Linked DNA regions of Danio rerio. The protein of the gene in region 3 binds, or shares a complex with, the protein of the main gene of each other region. Links are inferred from orthologs where the notes say so. Each region holds a gene or a part of one and is shown on either strand. Other genes may lie near its edges. The genes, in order: pfdn6, asdurf, ruvbl2, ing3, uxt, mbtd1 and anp32e.

The links.
Region 1: ruvbl2 (region 3) and pfdn6 share a complex: the UniProt entries of both Homo sapiens proteins name them as parts of the PAQosome complex. The link is inferred for Danio rerio from reciprocal best matches to the Homo sapiens genes RUVBL2 and PFDN6.
Region 2: ruvbl2 (region 3) and asdurf share a complex: the UniProt entries of both Homo sapiens proteins name them as parts of the PAQosome complex. The link is inferred for Danio rerio from reciprocal best matches to the Homo sapiens genes RUVBL2 and ASDURF.
Region 4: ruvbl2 (region 3) and ing3 share a complex: the UniProt entries of both Homo sapiens proteins name them as parts of the SWR1-like complex. The link is inferred for Danio rerio from reciprocal best matches to the Homo sapiens genes RUVBL2 and ING3.
Region 5: ruvbl2 (region 3) and uxt share a complex: the UniProt entries of both Homo sapiens proteins name them as parts of the PAQosome complex. The link is inferred for Danio rerio from reciprocal best matches to the Homo sapiens genes RUVBL2 and UXT.
Region 6: ruvbl2 (region 3) and mbtd1 share a complex: the UniProt entries of both Homo sapiens proteins name them as parts of the nuA4 histone acetyltransferase complex. The link is inferred for Danio rerio from reciprocal best matches to the Homo sapiens genes RUVBL2 and MBTD1.
Region 7: ruvbl2 (region 3) and anp32e share a complex: the UniProt entries of both Homo sapiens proteins name them as parts of the SWR1-like complex. The link is inferred for Danio rerio from reciprocal best matches to the Homo sapiens genes RUVBL2 and ANP32E.

Annotation. Positions count from the first base shown.
Region 1 is NC_133189.1:35,060,256-35,064,413, reverse strand, and holds the start of pfdn6 (prefoldin subunit 6), read left to right. Parts: upstream 1-1,358; 5' UTR 1,359-1,394; coding exon 1,395-1,458; intron 1,459-4,158. UniProt on the Homo sapiens protein: Binds specifically to cytosolic chaperonin (c-CPN) and transfers target proteins to it. Binds to nascent polypeptide chain and promotes folding in an environment in which there are many competing pathways for nonnative proteins.
Region 2 is NC_133184.1:42,816,361-42,820,580, reverse strand, and holds asdurf (ASNSD1 upstream open reading frame protein), read left to right. Parts: upstream 1-1,420; 5' UTR 1,421-1,495; coding exon 1,496-1,573; intron 1,574-1,695; coding exon 1,696-1,749; intron 1,750-3,174; coding exon 3,175-3,250; intron 3,251-3,372; coding exon 3,373-3,413; 3' UTR 3,414-3,425; downstream 3,426-4,220. Other genes in the region: asnsd1 (asparagine synthetase domain-containing protein 1), read left to right, coding at 3,426-4,220.
Region 3 is NC_133180.1:31,379,708-31,383,207, forward strand, and holds part of ruvbl2 (ruvB-like 2), read left to right. Parts: intron 1-345; coding exon 346-475; intron 476-832; coding exon 833-899; intron 900-1,917; coding exon 1,918-2,024; intron 2,025-2,352; coding exon 2,353-2,446; intron 2,447-2,550; coding exon 2,551-2,674; intron 2,675-2,788; coding exon 2,789-2,883; intron 2,884-3,500. UniProt on the Homo sapiens protein: Possesses single-stranded DNA-stimulated ATPase and ATP-dependent DNA helicase (5' to 3') activity; hexamerization is thought to be critical for ATP hydrolysis and adjacent subunits in the ring-like structure contribute to the ATPase activity.
Region 4 is NC_133179.1:11,169,977-11,174,087, forward strand, and holds the start of ing3 (inhibitor of growth protein 3), read left to right. Parts: upstream 1-1,311; 5' UTR 1,312-1,445; coding exon 1,446-1,473; intron 1,474-1,602; coding exon 1,603-1,674; intron 1,675-2,548; coding exon 2,549-2,649; intron 2,650-3,593; coding exon 3,594-3,659; intron 3,660-3,920; coding exon 3,921-4,017; intron 4,018-4,111. UniProt on the Homo sapiens protein: Component of the NuA4 histone acetyltransferase (HAT) complex which is involved in transcriptional activation of select genes principally by acetylation of nucleosomal histones H4 and H2A.
Region 5 is NC_133183.1:10,257,341-10,260,186, forward strand, and holds the end of uxt (protein UXT), read left to right. Parts: intron 1-1,928; coding exon 1,929-1,992; intron 1,993-2,109; coding exon 2,110-2,172; 3' UTR 2,173-2,346; downstream 2,347-2,846. UniProt on the Homo sapiens protein: Involved in gene transcription regulation. Acts in concert with the corepressor URI1 to regulate androgen receptor AR-mediated transcription. Together with URI1, associates with chromatin to the NKX3-1 promoter region.
Region 6 is NC_133187.1:35,459,040-35,462,539, reverse strand, and holds part of mbtd1 (MBT domain-containing protein 1), read left to right. Parts: coding exon 1-206; intron 207-318; coding exon 319-374; intron 375-453; coding exon 454-558; intron 559-3,500. UniProt on the Homo sapiens protein: Chromatin reader component of the NuA4 histone acetyltransferase complex, a multiprotein complex involved in transcriptional activation of select genes principally by acetylation of nucleosomal histones H4 and H2A.
Region 7 is NC_133194.1:45,163,932-45,167,934, forward strand, and holds the start of anp32e (acidic leucine-rich nuclear phosphoprotein 32 family member E), read left to right. Parts: upstream 1-1,203; 5' UTR 1,204-1,299; coding exon 1,300-1,353; intron 1,354-4,003. UniProt on the Homo sapiens protein: Histone chaperone that specifically mediates the genome-wide removal of histone H2A.Z/H2AZ1 from the nucleosome: removes H2A.Z/H2AZ1 from its normal sites of deposition, especially from enhancer and insulator regions.

The DNA.
Region 1 (4,158 bases), on a different chromosome or scaffold from region 3:
ACAAACTACTGTGTCGCTCCCACAAGTAACAAGCATAATCAAAACAACTGAGATTAAAGTGTCCAAAAAAAGTGATTTCTTCAACTAAAATTGCAGGTTCAGAGGACTAATCATCATACAAATGTTTTATATGAATTTTACAAAGTGACAACCTCTGTCATAACTCTAAAACCATGAACACATTTCATAATACACATTCAACTCACAGCAAAGATATCAGGTTCATTATAGAAAAAAGCAAAAATAGCCACACTCAAAATGACTGCCTGACAAAACAATAGAATTTATGAATTATTTATGTTTTATTCTATTATTTCATTCCTGCCCTTATGAAATTGAACCAAGGGAAGTGTGTGTGTGCGCGTGTTTTGACAGACATATTATTAGTGTAACTAACGTTACAGGTTTACCACAGATACTATGGTTAAATGGTGGTTAATGGTTGTTTGTTTGTTTGTCATCTTAGAAAATTTGATTTTTTTATTGAAAAAAATAAAAAAAGTTTTGAAGAATCACAAGAAGAAGAATAACGTTACTAGCAAATATCGATAAAGTTAAAACATCATGACATCTATTACGAAAATTAACCATGGTTTTACCACAAAAACTAACCATGGTAACCTCAAATCAACATGGTTTTGTTACACTAACCCCAGCTAAACTGTAGTACTTTCAGTAATACTGTGGTTATAAATAACAATCGATACGACAAAAAAAGTATGATTACACTTAACTCTTTAAACCATGGTTCATTCTCGTAATAGATGAATATAGCACATGATACTATTTTACCCTACATATGTTTAAAACGCTGCTTAAGGTGCAGATTTAGAACAGTCATTACATTTGCTTGTGTTATAGAAAAAATATATAACTGACTTTACCTGCTGTTGTGATTCTATGTGGTCGCGCACACCCGAAAAAAGACCTTCACGTTAGAATTTGAACCATGCGCGCTGCCATATTGCCTTGACTGTCACTACAGAGGGCTTGGAGGAAGAGGATAGACTGACACCACATGGACAGGAGAGGCACTACGCTTTTAGATACTGGAAAAATTGTACCCATCGTATTAATCCAAAAATCACATTAACTGATGCGTTAAATCTACATATGGTGCGTAAAATTATAGAGCAAATTATTTAAAGGTGTGTGAATAAACATAATACTGAAAAAAATTGTGTATGTTTTTCTTAAACACTAGATGGCGAAGTAACTCTTTTTATCAGCTATCGTAAAACCCCCATGTGACGCAATGATATGACGTCATTTCCCGTGCGCCTCAGACTGTGTGCTTGAGTAGTGTGCTGCTGACTGTCTGCATTTGTCATAAAATATCGTGATTTTTATTATTTAGCAATAATAATAAGTCAGACATTGGAATAGCAGGTGTGATGGCTGAAGCGATTCAGAAGAAATTGCAAGCTGAGTTGGAGAAATATCAACAACTCCAGAAAGGTAACTTACAGCACGAAAAGCTCAGAGTTAGCAATCCAACACTCCCTGCATGGGCATCTTTATATTGAGGCAAAGTTGGTTTTATATTCGCACATTCGTTCAGTGACAATGTGTGGCATGCTCCCTATATTGTTTACCATGGTACTTTGAATATTCGGTCTGAAATCACATGTAAATAAGACTACATTAACGTTATCACTATTTATTTGACTGAATAATGGTGTAATTTGATAGCCATCGTCTGCTAATATGGTTTCACTATTTAGGATTTGCTAACTACAGAATACTTTTCGGAATTTTTAATAGGAGAAAGTCTGAATGTGTAAATATAAAACCAACTTTACCTCATTGTGTAAATTGGCTTTCTCTCTAAAAATCTTATTAAAGTATTTTTGTCAATTCTAAATGGTAAAATCATATTAGCAGCCATTGACTATCAAAATCACCATGGTAAACAATGTAGGGATGTCACAAGTTTTCACTGAACGAATGTGCGAATATAAAACCAACTTTACCTCAATCATCTTTATGTTCGGCTCCTTTAATAATTTATATTTAACGTATTTGTAGTAATTTGTTGTATTCAGGTTTAATATCTATGTAGTGCAATGCACTGATAAAGTACAAATGTCACGGTTATGTTGTATTTGGACTTGATTTAGCTACCCAGAGCTATTTTAGACAAAATCCACATTCAATCTACAAATTCTCATTATTGAACGTTTTAAAAAGGCTTTTACTATTTTATTTTATTTTATGATTCATTGTGTAAGTTTCTTGGTATTTATAGTAACACCATTATGAATATTCATATAGCCAAGTTATACCAGTGTACACTTGCACATTTCCTGCAACATATCTTTGAATAAATAAAAAGTTTTAACTAAATTAGAATAAATATAATTAATTTGAGATTTTATAAATCATGATTGTTCAAAAAACATATACCAAATAATGCATATATATATGTATGTATGTATATATGTATGTATGTATGTGTGTGTATATATGTATGTGTGTGCTCCTTTAATAATTTATATTTAACGTATTTGTAGTAATTTGTTGTATTCAGGTTTAATATCTATGTAGTGCAATGCACTGATAAAGTACAAATGTCACGGTTATGTTGTATTTGGACTTGATTTAGCTACCCAGAGCTATTTTAGACAAAATCCACATTCAATCTACAAATTCTCATTATTGAACGTTTTAAAAAGGCTTTTACTATTTTATTTTATTTTATGATTCATTGTGTAAGTTTCTTGGTATTTATAGTAACACCATTATGAATATTCATATAGCCAAGTTATACCAGTGTACACTTGCACATTTCCTGCAACATATCTTTGAATAAATAAAAAGTTTTAACTAAATTAGAATAAATATAATTAATTTGAGATTTTATAAATCATGATTGTTCAAAAAACATATACCAAATAATGCATATATATATGTATGTATGTATATATGTATGTATGTATATATGTATGTATGTATGTGTGTGTGTATGTATATATATATATATATATATATATATATATATATATATATATATATATATATATATATATACATACATGCATGCATGCATGCATGCATGCATGCATACATACATACATACATATACATACATATACACACATTTCAAAACATGAATTCCCAGAGAAGCTACCAACCACAGAGTCATGGGAGCAGAAAAAATCAATCTGTAAATTTTTAAAAAATTAAATACATTTTAAATAAATAAATAAACATGTGTTATGGATGTGACGAAAAAAGTCTGCGAGTTTACAGTATACAACATACTTTGATGTTGATGTTGATGTTGTTTTTATTTAATTTAGTGATAATATATATATATATATATATATATATATATATATATATATATATATATATATATATATATATATATATTAAATATATATAAATAAAATAACATTAAATATAAACATTTCCCCGAGATGGGTTGCGGCTGGAAGGGCATCTGCTGCGTAAAAACTTGCTGGGTAAGTTGGCGGTTCATTCCGCTGTGGCGACCCTGGATGAATAAAGGGACTAAGCCCACAAGAAAATGAATGAAATAAAAACAATATCAACCTTTAAAACTTTCAGTAATGATAAATCATTCATCATTTTTTTCGGCTTAGTCCCTTTATTAATTTGGGGTTGCCATAGCGGAATGAACCGCTAACTTATCCAGCACGTTTTACACAGCGAATGCCCTTCTATCTGTAACCCATCACTAGTAAACTATACACAATCATTCACACACATACATTACAAACAATTTAGCTCACCCAGTTCACCTACTGACCCAGCCGAGGCTTGAATCAGCGACTTTCTTGCTGTGAGGCGACTGCGCTGCCCACTGCGCCACCATGCTGCCCAGTAATGATAATACTGTAGCTTATTATAAGCTTTAGATTTTAAATTAAAAATAGATTTTATTGATAATAGAAAATATGTAATTGCTTTGATTTTAATGTCTCATGATTGCTCAAATATTTTAAAATTAAAATATTTAATGAAAGGCAAAATTATAATATTACTACATATTATAAAACAGACCAGTGTATTGTACTTGTGTAAACTTTCACTTTAATGTGTTTGATTTCTTTTTAAAATAACAGACATATCATGTATTCATATTTTTCAGAAAACATTATCCAAAAAGTGTGAGATATAGTGTAAAAATGA
Region 2 (4,220 bases), on a different chromosome or scaffold from region 3:
GACTTTAGCTCCAACTCTAATCAAGCTCTTACTAGATATACTAGAAACTTCCCAGCAGGTGTGTTGGAGCTAAACTTAGCAGGACACTGGCCCTCCAGGACCAAGGTTGGACACCCCTGTGGTAGGGTCAGGACAGTCCTAAAGGGCTTACGCATATTGGGGGCCCCTAGAGATATGATTCGGGGTTCATGCACAACCCCCCACCCCTCTCTTCGCTTCACTTTAGAGCATTATTCCTATGTACAAAATTTAGGAGGGATACAGTGGCTCATTGGTTAGCACTGTTGCCTCACAGCAAGAAGGTCGCTGGTTCGAGTCTTGACTGGGTCAGTTGGCATTTTTGTGTGAAGTTTGCATGTTCTCCCATGTTGGTGTGGGTTTCCTTCTGGTGCTCCGGTTTCCCCCACAGTCCAAAGTCATGAAGTATAGGTGAAATAAATAAACTAAAATGTCTGTAGTGTATAAGTGTGAATGAGCGTGTATGGATGTTTCCCAGTACTGGGTTACAGCTGGAAGGGCACACGCTGTGTAAAACATATGCTGGATAGGTTAGTAGTTCATTCCGCTGTGGCGACCCCTGATGAATAAAGGAACTAAACTGAAAAGAAAATGAATGAATGAATGTCAAACTTGTTTTCTAAGGACCAGTGCAATTTGTTTTTACTTGCCCCATTACAATTCAAACACTTATTTATAAACAAAATAAGTTTATTTTAAGAAAGATAATTGAACCAAATTGGTAAAGAGTTTTAGAATATACAATTTAGTTAATTGTTTTTTTAGAATAATTGTTATTTGTACCGATTAAATAGCTTTACATGGACAAAAAAATTAACACCTGTTTAAAATTATTTAAGACCTGTAACACCCTTTTAAGTAAAGTTTTAAAAGGCCTAAAATGTTGTTTTTGAAATGTAAGACTTTTAAAGTCCCTGCGGACACCCTGAACAATTTTTCCATTAAGATGAGCATTATTTGTTCATCTTGAAAGTTAAATGCAAACAATCCTCTTTAGGATAGCTCTCAAATTACTGAGGATAAACCAAAATATTTGGATAAGATAATGTACGCCTAGAGCTATGATAGGCTTTGTTTATTACCATCTTATCGTACATTAGAAGAATGGCAAAATATGATATAAGATAATATGATAATATCAGGTTTAGATAGATGGGCTAGCCGCTGTTTCGCGATGAAAAGTCGTTAATATCCGGGTAAAAACTCTATTTGAAAGCATTCGACGTATTTGAACCGTATTTGACCACATTACTTAGATTCCCTGTTTCATTCAACAACGCGTCTTTGTTTAGATGCTGCAGATTTATCCACCCAACATTATTCTTTAACAGGCTTTGTTTATGGGGGATAATGGGGTTAGGATTACGTGACGCACTTTTAAAGCGTCGTTGGCGCATACGTCATTCTTGTGCGACGAACGAGTTACTTGCTCGTGGAGATGTTTCCCTAAAAATGATCTGAAGCGTATTAATAAACAATGTCCTCCAAGAACATACAGCGAACTGAGCCTGGGGCCTCAGAAGAGCGCGCACAAAAAGAGGAGCTGAACCAAAAGGTTGTCTATCATATATGTTTTTTGTAATTTATAGTATACAGTTGACACCAGTAAAACGCGTTAAGCATGTTTAGTAATTTCTGTTTTTTGATGATCCTAAAAACATAACTATTCATTCGCAGATAAAAGAGCAAAAGATTGTTGTGGACGAGTTAAGTAACTTGAAGAAAAACAGGGTATGTAACGTCATATCGTCTTGTCACTTTCTATATATTATCAAGAGTCATTCTGCATTTGGTGTAGCAGATGCTTTCACTTAATTATAGATGTAACAAAGTCAAACCACATCGCTATAGAAGGCAATATATACTAAAATGTTTTCTAGTGTAGCATACAATATAATATATGAACTTATGCTCCACTATACTAATTCGCAATAGATTATAAGTAGACTGTCAGGTGGGGTTGGTGTAAATTGACATGTACTTGCAAAGTTTCTTAGTCAGTGAAATGTTGAAAGCAGCAGTATCAGCAGATATTAAGCAGACAGTCTACTAATACCCAAATGAGAAGTAACTGGCATTTAGTTGCAGTACAACTTTAGTCAGAAAAATGTGCAACAGGGACCATCAAAATAAAGTCTTACCATGATATTAATTACATTCACATTTAAAAATATCAACTAAGAAGTTCCTTCGATGTTTAGAGATATTTTTCCAGTTAAATTTATGAAAGATAAAACGTAATTGTGAAACAGTTTATTTGACATCAATTAAAAGCAAAGTAGAATTTAAGCTTGACAAAATTATCAACTTATAAAGTACCTTAAATGTATCATCTGTTGCCATTTTCTAACCCATGGGGATTCAAATTGGATAATTCCTTTGAACTATTGAATTTATTATTTTAAGATAATTTACCTCAAAGTCAGTGTTCTTCTTATGGCAGACTTGTAAATGAAGCAAATAGGACTGAGTTTCATTTCTGGCCCATTTTTGTGGAGATTTTCTAGAGTACTTCTATAGCCAGTCCATGTGTATAGTGAAGTATCTTATAGTTATGCGTAGGTTTTTAAAATAGCTCTTATGTGCAGAGTTGTGTTTGTATTTATGATTAATTTATGTAGCACCGTTGTCCTGGGAGACTGCACATTTAGTTTCTCTGTATGTTCACACTAGGCATGGGCCGGTATAAATTTCTGACGGTATGATAACCTTGTATAAAAATACCACGGTATCACAGTATTGTGAAAGTGATTACTGCTCTCTCTTTTTTAAAATGTATGGGTAAAATAGAACAAACATTTATAATTTCCCCACTGAACACAAATTATTTATTTTAAGGAACATAATATTTTGGAACAGTAAACATGTCAGGCTAAATAGTTAAAATAAATCTTTGACTTCTGCTCTATTCGTTAGTTTGAAAAACGTAGATTTCTATACAACACATAAAAATATATAAAAAAACTTTTACATATAACTTGGGAACGGTATAACAGAACAATTTACTGGGATTAAAACCTTGAATTTTCCAAACCGCGGTAAACCTTGAAACCGGTTACCGTCCCATGCCGAGATCACACATGTAGTGGAATGACAATAAAGCTCAACTTGACTTGATATCATCACATTCCAGTAATACTAAGATTATATTCACAGAGAGTGTACACCCAGCAACCCAACAGCAATATATTCTTTCTGGCAGACAAAGGAGAAACCCTTAGCTCTTGTAAACGTAAGTGTTTCTGTTATACTTGAGTTGTTTCTGCTTTTTTGATAGATGATACATAAATACAATACTAATGCCACCATTTTGAGTGTGTTCTTCTAACATTGTCATAATATTCTGTTATACAGAGGACCTGGATAACATGCGGAAAGAATATCAAGATATATAGTGAAGTGATATCATGTGTGGGATCTGCTGTGTGGTCAGTTTGACCACACCACATGATCCACTGGAGGAGAATGTGCTTCAAAATCTCAAACACAGAGGACCCAATTGTAGCAAAGACATTACAAAAGAAATCTCAAACTGCAGTGTCCTATTCTCTGCACATGTACTTCATATGAGGGGTTGCCTGACCCCTCAACCTCTTCAAGATGACACTGGGAATATGCTTCTCTGGAATGGAGAGGTGTTTGGTGGTCTGAAATTAGAGCAGGAAGAAAATGACACCAAAGTTCTTCTTCATCAACTGTCAATGGCCACCAGTGCCTCAGATATTGTATGTTTGTTATCACAACTCGAAGGACCGTGGGCCTTTATCTATTACCAAAAGTCTGAGCGCTGCATCTGGTTCGGGAGGGACTTTTTCGGGAGAAGAAGTCTGCTTTGGAAATTCAATCCTGAAAGAGCTTTTTTCACACTCGTATCAGTTGCTTCCCAGCCAGCAGATGATAGTCAATCCCAATGGCAGGAGGTACCACCTGGTGGAGTTTACAGGTTTGACCTAACAGACACTTCACTAGATGGTACATTTATTTTTGAACTTTATCCATGGATTTTCCACAGTGACGACAAGCCAATTGAAAGCCCGGAATTGAAATGTGAAGGTCTTCCCAAATGTGTTTCTTTAAACACAAATAGTTCTGGACTTTACCTGACCTCCCCTGTTTGTCCGATGAACACATCCATTTCATCACTTACAACTGAACAAAATCATAACGCCTCTCAAACCTCTGTTGAAAATCTGAAAGCATTC
Region 3 (3,500 bases):
TCCTGAAGAGCACAGCTCACCGGTCAGGTATACATCAGTGCTAAAATATCAAGGTGAAAGTCACCATAGCTTGCGTAGAATAGACCCAGCTTCCAACGCAACTTTGAAATGAGATTAACGGCGATATTTATTTATTAATTTTTTTGTTATTGTTTGTTTTTTATTATTTTTATTTTTGTTATGGTTTTTATCATCTTATTTCACTAAAATGTTATATATCTGTTCATCAATGTATGCACACGCATATATTATATTATATTATATTATATTATATTATATTATATTATATTATAGTAAATAAAGTGCAGTACCTGTTCATAACTGTGAGCTCTGTTTAATGTCCAGGTATTGCCCAGTCACTTGGTCCTGACACACCTTTCACTGCTCTGGCTGGGAGTGAGATTTTCTCTCTGGAGATGAGCAAGACTGAGGCTTTGAGCCAAGCATTCCGCAAGGCCATAGGAGTCAGAATAAAGTGAGTGAGCCTGAATGAAGAAATAAACATTACTGTCAAATCTTCAATCAAAGACAAGCCTTATATGCTTGTTACTTTGACATTTTGAGCTGTGAAAAGTGAGTGGACATCTTCAGTTGAGGATTAAAAGATTTGCAGATTAAGGATTTGAAAATATAAGTTACTCATTTGCTGTTTTATGTGAGCTATAATATTCCTTATCAAAGTGTGTAATGAATTTAGGATTAACATTTATTTTGGATCATGTTTCATTGGATATTATAGATTCATAGTTGTTTTGATTGTTCTGGTATGTGGTTAGTTTAATTGCAATAACAATGGCATGACGACTTATGTTCTGTGTTTTTGGTCTGCCAGAGAGGAGACGGAGATCATTGAAGGAGAGGTGGTAGAGATTCAGATTGACAGACCTGCTACAGGAACAGTGAGTCTTCTCCTCTTTCTCTATTAGGCTTCTGCTGGTATTAGTTTTGTCTTGTTCAGATTAATTGCTTTTCCGATTAAACTGTTTTCTGTATTAAAATATTAAGCTAAGCTGTTTAAAAAAGATTACTTAAACAGGCATATTATCCAAAATCAGTACATGCCATTAAAAAGTGACACCTCTGTTATTAAAGAAGTGAAGAGCTAAAAACGAATCTCTCGTTTTGTTTCATAGTAGAGGTCACTTTAAGAATGCACAGATCTATAAGGAAAGCATTCGATTACTTTAGTAACTGTTTGCGCTCATTTAAGAGAAAATCAGTTGTGTTTAAAATAAAACACGCAGGGCACACGTTTACATATTAAGTGTATTTGTCTGTTTAATCACACACCTGAATCCCAAAGTGTCCTGCACTTTAGCTCCTCTTTAAATGGTGTGTACAGAAGGCTTTAATTAAATTAACTGATGTTAACAAAAGAAGCCTTACTGTATAGATGTTCATGTGAAAATGTTAATGTTTGAAAATAAATTGCCCTGCTTAGACTTCAATCATTTGGTGCTGTGTTGAACCACTGCCAATACAACAATCTGAATATTCCTCAAAGGCACTCTAAAAGTTAGTCACTGTATTTTGTGCCCACGATAGCAATATTGCTCACGTTCATGTGAATTATTGAATATCTGCAATTCGGCATATGTCTATTTTCCATAGACCAAAATAAAGGTTTATTTAATCTGATAAAATCCAGATAAAAAACATTCCCTGACAAACAGAAGATTTAATCAGGCAACACACTTTCTAGAATGCTCTCTAAACCAATTCAATTGTTTGGCTAGGAAGCATTATTAAAGATGTTTATCATCCTTCAGTGGGAAATGAATTTTTAAATTACTATGAAAGTGAGAAATTAGTTTTCAGCTACTTTTATAAGTTGAGCTTACATAGAGGCTTGGAATGTCCTTAAGTAAACCCTGTTGGTTGTGAATGAGTTTATCTCCTTTCTGTGATTGTGTTAAGGGTGCAAAAGTTGGTAAACTCACTCTGAAGACGACAGAGATGGAAACCATATATGATCTGGGGACTAAGATGATCGAGAGCCTCAGTAAAGAGAGAGTACAAGCCGGGTAGGTGGATTTTAAAGCTGAAATCTGTGGTCATTTTCTATTTATAACAAATTCGCCAGACTGGGCTGCACAATAGCAGTGTTAATAATTATAGTGATCGTTTGAAAATGATGATGATTACTTTTATTTATTGCTAGGTTGATAAATGATTAAATATGCTTTGAACAGTGTGTTTACTTTGGCAAGACTTATACAATATAATTCTCATTTATTATATGAATAAACAACAAAACTAAACTTTTGAGGTCTGAGCCAAACCTCATTATTCAGGCTTTCATGTGCTTAAATTGTTAAATGACCTCATAATGTCATATTTCATTTTCTGCAGAGATGTGATTACTATTGATAAAGCCACAGGGAAGATTAGCAAGCTTGGACGGTCATTTACTCGAGCAAGAGACTATGATGCCATGGGAGCACAGGTACACAGTTTGTCTTCATCTGTGAAATGAATCCATCAATCAATGCCACCAGTTCCCAGAGAGAGTTTTTTATATATGTTTATTGTGTTTAATGTTTATTTCAGACGCAGTTTGTGCAGTGTCCAGAGGGGGAACTTCAAAAAAGGAAGGAGGTTGTTCACACCGTCTCTCTTCATGAAATTGACGTCATCAACAGCCGCACACAGGGATTCTTGGCCTTATTTTCAGGTTTGCCATGCTCTTGTAATTGTTTTTATACTGCTCTTTGAGTGGTGTTTTTTAATAATATCTGTTCATAGATGTTTGAGTATGCGCTGTGTTGTTTGATGGTCTGTTCTGCAGGCGACACAGGAGAGATTAAGTCAGAGGTTCGGGAGCAGATCAATGCTAAAGTGTCTGAATGGAGAGAGGAAGGCAAAGCTGAAATTATTCCTGGGGTAAGTAGACCCAGACTAGTAAGGTAGTCAAAGTGTTACCTTACCTTACCAGCCAACAGAAAGAGTTGGCTTTTTCTTTTTAGTAAAATCTATGTTTTAATGCATTATTATTTGTTTAAAATTTTTTTATAAAAGAGCAAAAAATCTTTCCTGGCTGTATTATTTATTGAATTTATAATAACTAAATCTATGATCAAAGAAATGACATCTAATTTTCAAGTCCTCAGAATTACATTTACAAAAATTCAGATTTAAAGTTTCAAATAATCTTTGTGAAAATAAAATGTAAAACATATGGGTAAAATAATATATCCAAAAAAACACATTCAAGCAATTTCTCGTACGAAAATTTCCATGCCTTTAAATATTTTGAAGTGTTTTCTGTTCACTGAATATAAATAATTTAGTTTGTTTGTTTTAAGTTTGTCTATTCTGGCAGTAAAAGGAAATTTGTCTTTAACACTGATAACATAAATACAACCATACAACAGTCACAAAATAGCAGCATTCAACAAGACAACCACATGAATTAAAAATGATACATTTTTTGATAGATTAAAAAAACATAACTTCCCCAAAGGTACACCTTCTGAATTGTACAGTGGAACTGTGTCTTG
Region 4 (4,111 bases), on a different chromosome or scaffold from region 3:
ATGTTTTATAAAAGCCTCTTACACCACGACTGAACCAAATCATAACTGTCTACAATAAACGTGGGGTCAGGCTGAGGTTTCTTCCTCTCCAGAGACAGCTGGGCAGTTACATTGTCTTCCACTGTTGTGCAAAAGCCTCTTACACACAGACAGAAGCACTAAGTTGCCAGAACTGTCATTAAATATTGCAGTCAGTGCTGCCCTCCAAAGGCCAAAGCTGCATTAAACCTGCAGTCTTCAAACTAGTCTTCTATGTCTCTAATAACCATGAGGATACAAAATTAAGAGACACAAAACATTTGAATTATTTCTATAAGTTATACAATTTAGTAACTTCTTTAACACTGCTACTGATCTACAACAGGGGTGTCCAAACTCAATCCTGGAGGGCCGATGTCCTGCAAAGTTTAGTTCCAACCCCAATCAGACACACCTTAGCTAGGTAATCAAGCTCTTACTAGGCTTTCTAGAAACATCCATGCAGGTGTGTTGAGGCAAGTTGGAGCTAAATCCTGCAGGACACCGGCCCTCCAGTACCGAGTTTGGACATACCTGATTTACAAATTAAACTACAGATTTTCTAATGATAAAACATATATTTCAAAAGTATGTAAAATGTACTTGAAACAATTATTAGTGTAAAATTGACTTTTTTGATTGTATTACTGCAATGTTTTATACTCTGCATGCTTTATTTATCATTTACATCTTTCTCTTCATGTTATACATAATCATTCTTTTGTAAATGAAAATGTATTCAAAAAGAATGCTACTATAAAATAATCTACAAGTTTTTGTCTTAAAATCAGTGAAATATGTTTAAGTAATGTTTATGTGGCCAATAAATGATATAGCCTTTATCTCTGTGGAAATTTACTTTAATTTTACATGTTAGTTACTTTATTTGCTTTATATGCTTTTTTATTTTCTTAAAGATTGAACGTTTCTGTTATGTCAGTTTTATTTAAAAAATGAATTTATCTGTTAAACAATTGTGTCTAAACAATTATATTTACGTGATATAATATCTAATGTAAACAAGTATGTTTAGAACAGAACGAAAATGGCTATTTATTTATTTATTTATTTATTTATCTATTTATTTATTTATATATATATACCTACCTCTTATTGGGAGATGAGCAAATCGTACTAAAATGTACAAAGTACTAAAAGTTACAAAAGGCAGATTGCGTTGGACATCCCACAATGCGCTTGACGTAGTTTCAACTGAAAGAACTACAAGTTCCATAAAAACGATTTTCATAAAGAGTGCAGCTTCCGCGCAACTCCACCATCGTCCAATCAGATCCCACGCCCTTCACGTAAGCCCCTCCCCCGCCAGCTTGTGTTTTTTCCTCCCCTTCAGTTCTCCGCTGCCCGCGACGCCATATTGCCGAAAAACACCCTTTCTCTGAAACCTCCGAAAAACCATCTCCGCCAGAATGTTGTACCTTGAGGACTACCTCGAAAGTGAGTAAAACAGCTCTTTTATCTATATATGTTCGTATTATCGTAAGTAGGTGTTTTAGAGGGTGGTTTAGGGCGTGTTTTGCTGTCACATCCGTTAGCTTGTAACGCGGTTGTTCTTCTTCCCGGCAGTGATCGAGCAGCTACCCATGGATCTCCGCGACAGGTTTACGGAAATGAGAGAGATGGACCTGCAAGTGCAGAGTACGGTTTCAGTTTAAACTCACTTTTGTGCCTTAGAACACCACAGCTGACTTAAACTAACGTAAAGAGCCTTTCATATCAGTGGAGATCTGTTTGGTGAATTTGCAAGCATAATAAAAGCATGCATGTGTTGTGATGTTGCACACTGATGTTAAGTGCAATTAGAGCATGTGGAAGTTGAGTAACACCAGTGTCACCTAAACCAGGGAAAACTTAGGATACATTATTGCATTGAAATGCATTTTTTTGGTCACCCCAAGTAATTTAGAGTCTGACAGTGCCCCCATTGACAAGATTTTGATTGTCTTCATCACACGGGAACACAGTTTACTTATAGCAAATGCATGTATTTGTTAACAGATTAAGGTTTTGCATCAACCATAAACATGCATAGGTACTCATTCTAGTTAGAAATGTATATATTTCTAATTAAATCATTTTTACAAAACAGTTATCACAAAGACATTTCTTCTTGGAAATGTTATAGACAGTTTTCATTACATGTAATTTCCCGGTTACATTTCCCACCAAAATCATAAGGAAAGACTAATATTATTAAATCAATGTTTATATGTGTATATTCAAGTCTAGTTTTGTAGTTATAATTAAGATAAACCTAATTTACATCAGTTAAATATTTTTATATTATATAGTTTTAAATAATTTCATTTTATTTTGTGGTGATTGGGATCTGGATATTTTTCCACAGCTTTAGCAGTGATTCATGAATCACCCTTTGTAGGGGTTGCACCTACAGCCTTTTAATGATCTACTGAGATCTTTAACCAACCATAGACTTCCACAGTCGCCATCTGTGTGGTTGTGAGCCAAGTCGGGCTCTTGACTTCACTTTTGATCATGTTCCTTTGTTCAGATGCGATGGATCAGCTTGAGCAGCGGGTCAATGAGTTTTTTACTAATGCCAAGAAGAACAAGCCTGAATGGAGGGAAGAACAGATGGAAATCATCAAAAAGGTAAAGAACAGATGATGTGCACTTCAGTCGAACTGAGTGTTCTGCAGGTGATAATAATGTAGTATGAGATCTTTTAATGTTGATAATGCTTTTCCTTATTTGAACCATCAGTGTTTTTGGGTTGGACACTTTTTATTGACTCTTTTCAAAATTTAAATTAAACAAAAGGGGGGGAAAAGCAATATATGACATTTTAAAATGAATGGATATTAAATATTACAACCACACTTTACAATACAGTTCCAGTATAGTTAATTTATTTATTACCATTAACTAAGGATGAACAATATTTGCATATTATGAATTAATCATAGTCCTACGTTTAGTAATGTGTTATTAAAATCCATGCTTTTGCTTGTTAACATTAGTTAATCAACTGAGTTACCAAGTACTAGCAATAAACAATTGTATTTTATGTTAAAAAAGATGAATAAATACTGTAATAAATATATTGCTTATTATTTGTTAATGTTAGTAAGTAATTGCATTAGCTAATGTTTTCCAATGCAATCTTATTGTGAAGTGTTACCCATATTGTTTACTCCCGGAATCAGCTGCAAAATATATTGAACAATAAAAATTATATTGCAATTTAATTTAATAAAACATCTAAACTACATTCTAAGTGAAGCACAACATTTGCTTAACTGATATAATAAAGTTTGTATGTATAAGATGAGATCTTTACGCTGAAACTGACAGTGCATATTTTTTGTTACTAGCAAGATATGATATATTATTTTTTTGTTTTTATTTCATTTGTTATTCAATATTTTCCTTATTTTCATTATTATTTTTTAAATTGCATAATGATGAAATAATGATGAAATCATGATGAAACAACTGCTGGTTAAGTCATAACAATGATTGATAAAAAATTAATAATGGATAGTTTTGCATTAGAAGATAATATGCTTTCCTAATGATCTCTTTCTGTTTACCAGGACTACTATAAAGCTTTAGAAGATGCGGATGAAAAGGTCCAATTAGCCAATCAAATTTATGACCTGGTGAGTAATTTACTGTAACTAGCAACACTAGCCTTTGTGTCAGTACTGTATGGTCCCAGTAGGTGGCAGCACATCACTAATAGTAAAAAGCCAATGGATTTCTGGGAAGCTTTTTTGTTTGCTATTTAAATGCATACTAATGCTTTTTCGTGAGATTTAATAGACGTTTTTAAATACATTTTTCCTAATGAGAAGTGACATTTGAACTTGTGTGTGGGTTTGTGTAATCCGTTGTGTGTTGATCTTGTGCCTCTTATGTAGGTTGATAGACATTTACGGAAGTTGGATCAGGAGTTGGCAAAGTTTAAAATGGAGTTGGAAGCAGATAACGCTGGCATCACAGAGATCCTGGAAAGACGTGAGTGACGCCTCTCAATCACCTTTTTTACAGATAACTGGCTAATTTCAAAAGATAAAAAAGGTAGGAGTTGGCAAGTTTTTAAAATCAGTGT
Region 5 (2,846 bases), on a different chromosome or scaffold from region 3:
TCGCCACAGTGGAATGAACCGCCAACTTATCCAGCAAATGTTTTAGACAGTGGATACCCTTCCAGCTGCAACCCAGTACTGGGAAACATCCATACACTCTAATTCACACACATACACTACGGCCAATTTAGTGTACTTTGTATATTTATGTAAATGCAAACCATTATCTTGGGTGTGATTTATCATTTGACAGCACTGGTTTTTAGTTATAGTGAAGGCCTGACAAAAGCTGCATTTTTTTATATTTCTGCTCAAAATTAAAAAAAATAATAATAATAATAAATAATTTGCAGATTCATGCAGAATAATTTTGGGAGCATAATAACTAAAAACTGAAAACAAATGATATATATTTTGTAAATTTTATTTAAGGTTTACAATGCAAATTCCATTAGATCCACTTGTTTGGTAAACAAAGCAAGTTTTGCATATATTACATCAACTAAAAGATACAGAAAATATTACTTTGCAAACTTTATTGTACATAAATCATATAAACATTTGCATATTAGTCTATCTAATATATCTAAAATAAATATAAAAGCTGAATAAATGTATATTTACACACATTTACGTAAGTAAATACTTGATGGGCTAAAAATATGTATTAGCTCTAGCCTAGTTATAGTATACACTGTAAAAAACAATTCAGGAAATTTATGGTTAAAAATAACGACAGCTGTGTTTGCCGTTATTTTACTGAAAATAATACAGTACAAACTATAAAATATATTTCATTAATAGTGTTAATACATCATTGTTTTGGATTACTAACAAAGAATGTGATGTGTAGATGTTAGGAATTCAAAATGTAATTAACAGGTGTTAGTAATTCACTGTAAAATAAAAGAACACACTCATACACACACATACACTACAGAGAGTTTAGCTTACCCAATGCACCTCTACCACGTCTTTGGATTTGTACACCCGGAGGAAACCCACGCAAACATGGGGAGAACAAGCAAACTCCACACAGAAACATCAACTGACCCAGCCGGGGCTCAACGGTACACACTGTAAATTAAATAAATCATGTAATCATTTGCGTATCAGTCAAAAAAATTATTTAAATTAATATAAAAACTGAACAAATGTTTATGTATACACATATTTACATAAGTAAATAGACTTAATGATAGTGTACACTGTAAAAACTAAATCATAAAATTCCTGGTTAAAAAACATCAGCTGTGGTTGCCAGTATTTTACAGATAAAAATACGATACAAACCGTAAAATAAATTACACATTTTTATGGTAAACTAGCATATTTCATTAATCATTGTTTTGCCGTACTAACATCTACACATCATATTCTTTATTACACAAAAAACAACCATAAGAATATGAAAATGAGGAAAGGAAAAAGAAAGAACCATAGGAATGTCAATAATAATGCATAAAAACTCAATTGTCAAGCAGGAAATTCTGTGCTAAAAGATTACCGCTAATTACTGTATGTTTTAAGAAAACTTGCAGTTAATCAGGGCGATGCAGTGGCACAGTAGGTAGTGCGGTCGCCTCACAACAAGAAGGTCGCTGGTTCGAGCCTCAGCTGGGTCAGTTGGCGTTTCAGTGTGGAGTTTGCATGTTTTCCCTACATGTGCATGGGTTTCTTCCGGGTGCTCCGGTTTCCCCCACAGTCCAAAGACATGCGGTAGAGTTGAATTAGGCTAAGTTGTCCGTAGTGTATGAGTGTGTATGGATGTTTCCCAGAGATGGGTTGCAGCTGGAAGGGCATCCGCTGCGTAAAACATTTCATGGATAAGTTGGCGGTTCTTTCCACTGTGGTGACCCCAGATTAATAAAGGGACTAAGCTGAAAAGAGAATGAATGAATGAATACTGTCAGCTTATGCATTTTTACCTTTGAAATCAGCCTTTTTTGTGTTACAGTGCAAATATTTACCATTATTTGAATGTTTAGGTATACTGAAGTTCTTACCAAAGATGCAGCAAAGATAAAAGCCAACATTCGCATGGTTCTGGAGGTATACGTGATTATTAATATACATTTTTTTAACTTGCTTTTTACTTTTGCTTTTTTGTTTTTACCATTTATTGTGATTTAGAATGTAATAAAATGTGATAAAACTCTGTTTTCACAGGGGTTGAGGGAATTGCAAGGACTGAAGGATCTTCCAGAGGACAGAAGGAGAGAGGTGTTTTAGTACCATACACCAATCACAGCACAGTGTATTCATCTTTGCACATATGACTGCAATGTTTGTTTCAAACAATGTGAACATTATGGCAATCATGTTCAGAAGAACGTTGCCTTTTAACAGGTTGTACTGTTGTTTCCAGAAATAGCTGCTGAATAAAGTGTAAAATTTTTCAGTTAATATGTGTCAGTGGGATTGTTATTAATGTTTAGATCACTTTTTGTGCTTCTTTTTCCTTCAGCTTAGTCACTTATTTATCAGGGGTCGCCACAGCGGAATGAACTGCCAACTATTATAACGATAGGACTAAGAGTGCTCTAGTTATAATATTCTCCTCAGCTTATATGGCTGAACCAATGTCAAAAACTATAACTAAATTGTATAAATCACTAGGGGGTTCATCTCTACATTAAAGAAAGATGGGAGAAAGAAAGTGGCATTATCATCTCAAATGAGGAGTGGCTGGCTAAATATATGTATGGGCTACTTCCCGTTCTTCGTAATAGAGAGAATTTTTCTGGAGAAACATTGTTTTTTTTATTGGGAACTTATTGTTGGAGGCATTGCGGTTCACAGGACCATTTTCATGTCCTAATGTTAGAAGTTTTTGGAAAGAGATACATAGCATTTTAGAAAGTATATTAAATATTTCAATTGATTTCAGCTTTGAGGTACTTTAT
Region 6 (3,500 bases), on a different chromosome or scaffold from region 3:
GAAACTGATGCGTGTGGAAGTGGTGGACAAGACGCACCTGTGCCGCACTCGTGTGGCTCTTGTGGAACAAGTGATCGGTGGCCGGTTACGCCTGGTGTACGAGGAGAGCCAGGACGGCACTGATGACTTCTGGTGTCACATGTTAAGCCCACTCATCCATTCCATTGGCTGGTCACGAAGCATTGGACATCGCTTCAAAAGATCCGGTCAGTGCGGGAGTTTTAGATGAACCTTCTTGAAGTCAATTCAGCATAAATAACATTTGATGACCTTGTTGTGGCTTATGGATGTACATGTCTCTTATGTTGCACTCTGCAGAGGTGTCGAAGAAGATTGAGGGTCAGATGGATGCTCCCTCACAGCTGTTTCTTAAGGTGCTTTTATAATTGCTTTTTTATTCAACAGTTTGTATACACTCCACTTGCTCACATGTATCATCTTTTAAATCCACAGATTAAAGATGTGGATCAGAATGGGGATTGGTTTAAAGACGGAATGAAGCTGGAAGCAATAGACCCTCTAAATCTCTCCGCTATATGTGTTGCTACTGTAAGAAAGGTAAGATTTGTCATTAGTCATTATGGTCCTAACAGGGCATTAAAATTTTGGTTCCCACAGGTCATTCCATATTTTAAAATGTGTTATGTTTATTTTATTTTTTTATTCAAATATGCTAATTTAATGGTTGAGCATTCAGTTTTAAGGTGACAATAAATGTGACAAATATAACCATTTAGTAGGAAATTTTGTTACACTATAACACTTACGGAATTTGGTGAAAACTGTTTGATTCTAAAAGTTTGTGATGTGCAATCTTGTACTTTGTGCATAGCTGTGTGCAGTCTGTATAGTCTGGTAATATTGCAGTTACTGTCTTAACAAGGTGCACTGATATAAGCTTAGCATGCTACTCATTTTGCAGTAAACAAAAACCTAAGGCTTGCATGGATTTACTGCTTGTTAGAATGCCTCACTTCAATATTGACACTGCCCTTTAAGATTATACAATATAATAGCATAGTATTATATGGTAATATCAAGAGGCTATTTTTTCACTAATGTCATGCTTGCAAGTGTTGTTGATTTTTTTTTTTTTTTTTTTTTTTTCCATGTCATTTGCAGTGGACTGTAATTTAACAATAAAAGTTAGATTTTAGATGTAACAGGCTGTCCGCAGGGTCTTAAAACGTATTAATAGTTGATAAATCAAGTATGAGAAAATTAAGGCCCTTAAAAAGTCTTAAAAGCGTTGTCCAAAGTGTTTGACTCCAAAAAGGCATAAATATATTTATTTTCCTCCTAATATTAACAAGGACGTCCTCGATCCACGCGATTGGTTCGGACCGAGTTGTGTCTGGCCAAGCTCCTCCGACCAGATGATGTGATGTTCTCCACATGTAGCGAAACCATAGAGTGAAACAGATGGCAAAATGGGAAAACGTAAGCGTACATTTTGCGTACTCCTGGTTGGAGAAAGACGAGTTTAAACAGTGGCTGATGCCTGAAAACAACCTCATAATTTATTCTTTCAAGCTTGTTTCTTCCGAGCTTATCTGAATTCTGTTGCATGGTTGTGCTCCATTGATTTATTTAACTGCAACTGTTTATTAACAACTGTTTATTAAGTTAAAGGTTTGATACTGATTAGAACTTGAAGTGGCGATGAGGTCTTAAAATATTCTGAGAAGGTCTTTAAAAAGTCTTAAAAAGGTATTGAAATTACCTGTAGGATTCCTGTATATACCCTGTATAACATGGTCGGTAATGTTTCTTTTTTCACCCACAAAAAATTTCCAAATGAAACACTTTTGCTTTTTTAAATAACAGTGATGATTCTTTTCTGAATGAATCTTCGTTTTGAATGAATCAATTTGATTCAGTGACTATTTAATAAAGATCACTTCAGGTCACTCGCTAAATCTGTTAGCCTGAAGTCCCGGGGCTATTGTTTTTTCAGTCGGCCTACCAAAATCTATGTACACCAAGCCATACATGCAGCTCGATATTAGTACTTTTTTTGTTTATAAATGATTGAGCCCTCTGAATGAATCTATTGAATGACTCGTTCATTAAGACAGTTACATTTCTTCACTAGGATCACTTAAAAATGTGTGGCAAAGAGATTTGGAATATAATTTTAATGAGGATCAGTGGGAGACAAAATGCCAGAATACTTTTATTTCCCTTTCCAATAACAAAATAGTTAAACAAAAAATATATAAATTTTTGCATGGGATGTATGTGACCCCACTTCATTTAAGCAAAATGTAACCCAATGTGTCATCCAGGTGTCACAGTTGTAAAACATATTCAAGATTAATCATGCATATTTTTGGGGACTGCAAAAAGATGACTTTTTTTCTGGAAAGCAGTACAGGACTTCACAGCCAAAGCTTTGCAAACTCCATTGGACAACACTAGGGATGTAACGGTATCAGAATTTCACGGTACGGTAATACCTCGGTATGAATGTCACGGTACGGTATTTATTGAATCATTTACAGGAAAAAACAAAACTTATGAAAATACTCCAAAAAAGTGCCAAAAGTGTCAATGACATACAAATTAGCCATCTATCTGTAAGCTTTGAAACAGGAACTTCAATTTTAATAACAAAAAATTATTAAACCATGTAAAAAAATAAAGTTTCAATTAAGTATTGTTGAAAACTCATCACATTCAACATTTAATCACACTCAGCCCATCTACCCAGACGAGAGCTCTGCTAGTCGGACTTCTCATCAAGCATCTCCCGCTGGATCTAATCTCACTATATTTATTAAACGGGATATTTCATTTATCTTGTTATCTTTATCTAACGACATATTCCCTGACTTTGGGCATTGGAATCTATTACTTGTTCTCAGGTAACGTGTTTTGGCTGAGTGCAAAGATAAGTTAATGATTAATGTAACCACGTACATTCTGTATATTGACTGATCGCTTGCCTTTATTTCCTATAATGTATAAACTTATTGTATGTTATACTTTTAAAATGGCCATTATCGATTCTTAAAACTGATACTCAGCAAAAGAGAGGCTGTGTTTCGTATTTTCACTAAAATTAATAGGAGGCAGTTGTTATCGGCTCCGTTTTGTTATAAATATCCACACAGTGAAGATGACGCTCATCTTATGCAGCACGACGCCTCAACATGTCTGCTGTCTAAGTTGCTAATATTAAAATGAAAATAGGCAGTTCCTTAAATCATGTTTACATTTTATTTTTAAGAAAGTGAAACAACGAAGCCAGGGTGATGTGAATGAAGTTATACAGTACACTGTTCCCTTAGAAGATTTACCCGTGTCCTCGGTATAGTCTGCTTTTCCATATCAAACTGAGAAGAAGAGACTGCAGCCTTGATCAAACTTACGAAGTCTGAACTTACACGGAGAGAAAGCAGGACTGAACTGTGCGTGTTAGGCTACTTAATATTCAGGAAAAGCCCCAATCAGAGAGGCGAACGTCTGCAGCCCCGCCTCCGTTTTCAGATGTCTCC
Region 7 (4,003 bases), on a different chromosome or scaffold from region 3:
TATGTAATTTTTACAGTATAAACTGGGTCTTTTTAGGGGGATAGTGTGTGTGAGAGAGAGTGACTCTGTCTTTCTTTAACAATTTAGGATGCGGGTAATTGGCACCTAAAAGGTTAAAAATATCTAAAATAGGCTGTTGACTACAATAAAGACAATAATAATGGTAAAATTATGATAATAAAGGGTAAAAAACATATCTGATCTGTACTTTTAAAAAGTAATTGTAAAAGAAAAGATTGATATATGATACACAATCAAACAAAGAGTCTGCCCTAATGACTGTTTCATACAGAAAAGATTATTCACTTCTTCTCTGGCAGCCCAGATAAATCAGCTTAGCAGATCTGTTGTGGTGTCCATTGCGGTTCAGGGTCAGTGTGCCACGCAGCCCTAGTGGTCACCTTGGTGTACTGCACTAATGCACAGCGCTCAAAGCCTTCATTTTACATTTCCGTGGGGATACTTGTTTTTTATGCTGTTTTAAAATGAATGAAGACATTTTTAGGGAAAAAAATATGAAGGTTGTTTATTAATATATAATAACAAGTGAATATCCTGCTGGTGCTCAATGACTAAAATAGGCCTTTGTGAGTGAAGCGATCAGCAGCAGCACATTATGGGACAGATGGCGAGCAGACTTTAAGCCACCATGACTGTCTGGGTTTATGGTCAGCCATTTTGTATAGAACAAATGATTGTAGAGAACATACTCAATGTTTAAGACTCTTTTGACCTCACAGAACACATTTTACACGTGTTTTAAGGTGAAAATAACATAAATTATATTTTAAGATGTAAAAATGTTTTATTTTTGACTCTTAAGCATTGGCGTTCACTTTAGATTCTTCAGAATACACCATCTATCCCTGGTCTATAAATTAATTTCGACTTATTGGAGTATTAAAGGACACGGACTTCGCTTCAGGGCGCCAATGAGAACAAAGAATAGGCGGATTTACAGTTTGAAAGCTTCATACTGACGTTCTGGACGACCCGTCGAAAATCTACTGCGCGCGTATTTCCAGCCAATCGCGTCAGGCTATAAAGACCGATTATGTTGATAAGCGTGATCTGTTTGAGTGACAGGCACGTTCTCCAATCACGCGTTGACAAATAGCGATCATCCAATCGAAACGCGAAGTAGGCGGGATCTCAAAAAGGGGGTTGGGTGCGAGGTATCATGGAGGATCAGTTGGAGAACGGCAGCCATTGAAGATAGCCGAGCCGTTGGTCCGCGCTCCGGAGTTTCTGACAAATTTATTTTCTTTACGCGATCCCAGCGCAGCAATAACCAACCAAATGGAGATGAAGAAGAGGATTAGCTTAGAGCTGAGGAACAGAACTCCAGCAGAGGTGAGCGCTTTAACTATTTATTTTGTTCACAGAAACGCGAAATGATGTTAGTTCGCAACCTGTCTGTCTATCTATCCTGCACGCTCGGAATAGTCAGTGGAGTCCGCTGAATGGCAGCGCGGCTTGGAGACCACATGGGCGCCTTAACGGGATGCCAATTTGGATTTTTGGAGACTGCATATTTGGATATACACAAACAAGTAGTCGATATAATCGTAATTTTAAGCGCGTTAAACTCTTGGTGAATCTTTTGTGAACTCCTCACACGATCTCTTCGCCATTACATTAGACTTGTCGATGTGGGCGTCCCAACAAGCACCTCAAAATAACACACTTCGATATTAAGTATTTTTATCGGTCGCAAATATGTTTATTACTCAACAAGTGTCGTCTAATTTGCTTACGATGTTATTACAATGCCCCGATACGATATTGTTCCCGCTTCCAGCAGGAAACGGTAACAATTAAAGTAAAACTGTTGTGTATTGTTATATAATTCCTACCCCAGTCTTCCTTACATGCAAAACATCACGCGAATAAATCTCCTATCTCTTCATATAAAAAGTTTATTATACGCTAGCTTCACAGATGCGCTCCCTACTATATGGCTTTTCTAATCTAGTAACGTACGTTAAAAAACGAGCAGTTTCGTCTTCCATAGGCGGACATCTTACTCTCTCCGGCTCCTCAACATTAGGCATTCACTCGCCTCCGTTCTTCATCTTAAGACCCTCTAAAATGTTCAGGGTTTGAGAGCACAAGCACATATGGAGCGAATGTCAGGTCAAACTGTATTATGAAGCGTTCATGGCTTCTGCAGCGCCTCGCGGTGTGTGTGGTGAGGATGTGTGTGTGTTTCTGCTCGACTCCGTGTTGACGGGCGGGGAGTGGAAGTCATTTTGTTGCATCAATAGTTGAGACGCAGATGACGATGTTTTGAAGCTTTGACTCTGTTATTATTAATAAAAGTTCAGTGGTTTGATTCACTACGCTTACGTGGTGTGGAGAAACGAATAATTGGCGCATAAGAGCCAGAAATAGTCGCTGCGGTTTAAAAAAAAACTAGTTGCCATTTTCTTACGCGGTTACGTTAATGGCGTAATTATGTAACCGTCTGCAAAATTATTTATTCCCGACGTTAAACTATGCATTGGGCTTTAGGAAGCTGTTTAGGATGTCAGTCGCCGTTTTAATTGAAGGAATGTGGCAGATGGTGAAGGGCGAGCCCCCCTTCCTCCTCTCCGATTTTAGTAGATTATTGTAGGCTTGCCTGAACCGAAGTATTGAAGCACGCTTCTTTTGAATGGGGTAATGATGGATGGGATCTTTTACACGAGCTTGAGTTGATACTCTGTCTGACATGACATGGTGGACGTGCATAAGCGATACGTGGCTTTTAACTTGGGTGTATCTTGCGCCACCGGTTTAAAAAATCTTGCGCGCGCTGTGTGAACATCTTGTGAAGAGCTGGCTGTAAATTCACACACACCAAATCCTGTGAGATGAGGTGGGGGAGGCATTACCAGGGCTACATTACACACACATCACGTGCTCAAAATGTAGGTATCTTTCCACAAGGGCAACAAGTTATTGAATATTTAAATTTTAGGGCTGCAGTGCATGACAGTGAGCGCGCGCGTGCACGTTTCTGTTTGTTTTTAATGGGAGAATCAGCACGTCTTTCCTCAAAGCTTTTAAGTGCACATCTGTTTATTTGTTGAATACATTTTTTTTGTATATATAGAAAAGTTTCAAACTTGTCAGATAAACAAATATCTATGTTAAAGGAATTGTCTATATTATAATTTAAATCCCATTTAAATTAAATCATTCCTGTTAAATACATTAATTACTTACATTAAAATGTAAAAGTGTAAATACATTAGAAAATATGTGTGTATTGTTTGTTTCAATAATTGGAATTAAAAACAGGCTCAACCAATGGTGGGAGACGGGGGCGGGGCTATCCAATGATAAATAGCATACAGCAGCTCTACAGAAACAGGAAGGATTCATACTTTGTGTAGTGCAAAATAAAAAAAAAAAAACATTTATATTCCAACCCATATTCAGTTATTTTTTTGCTGTCTCTAAATGTTCCATCTCCGTTAATTTTGTTTATGCTATATATTTTCCAATGTTTTTGAACTTTTTGGGAAAAGAAATGTATTTCAATTTTATTACTATTAATAAATGGGATTTCATTTACATGGGTCATAAATTAATTATAGACAATTCCCTTAACATGTATGGCTGTTTATCTGACACACACACATATATATATATATATATATATATATATATATATATATATATATATATATATTATGTTAGGGAAAAATATTAAACAAAAATAAATTTAAAATAGAGCAAAATTCAAGAAAAACTGAATTTATAAAATATAATAAATAATTTTGTTTTGCAATGTTTCACATGAATTTAAATGTTTTTTTTTTTATATATAAATATACCTATTTAAAAAATCTATTTTGTTTAAATGCACTAAAATATATGACCTATGTTTACTGATAAATTAAGAAAAATATTCATTTGCAAAATGGGATGTACTCTACACACATTGGCGTCAATATACCCTATGATATGTCGCACAAATTTCATAGCTTAAGTGCTTTGAGATTGGTTTTCCAAT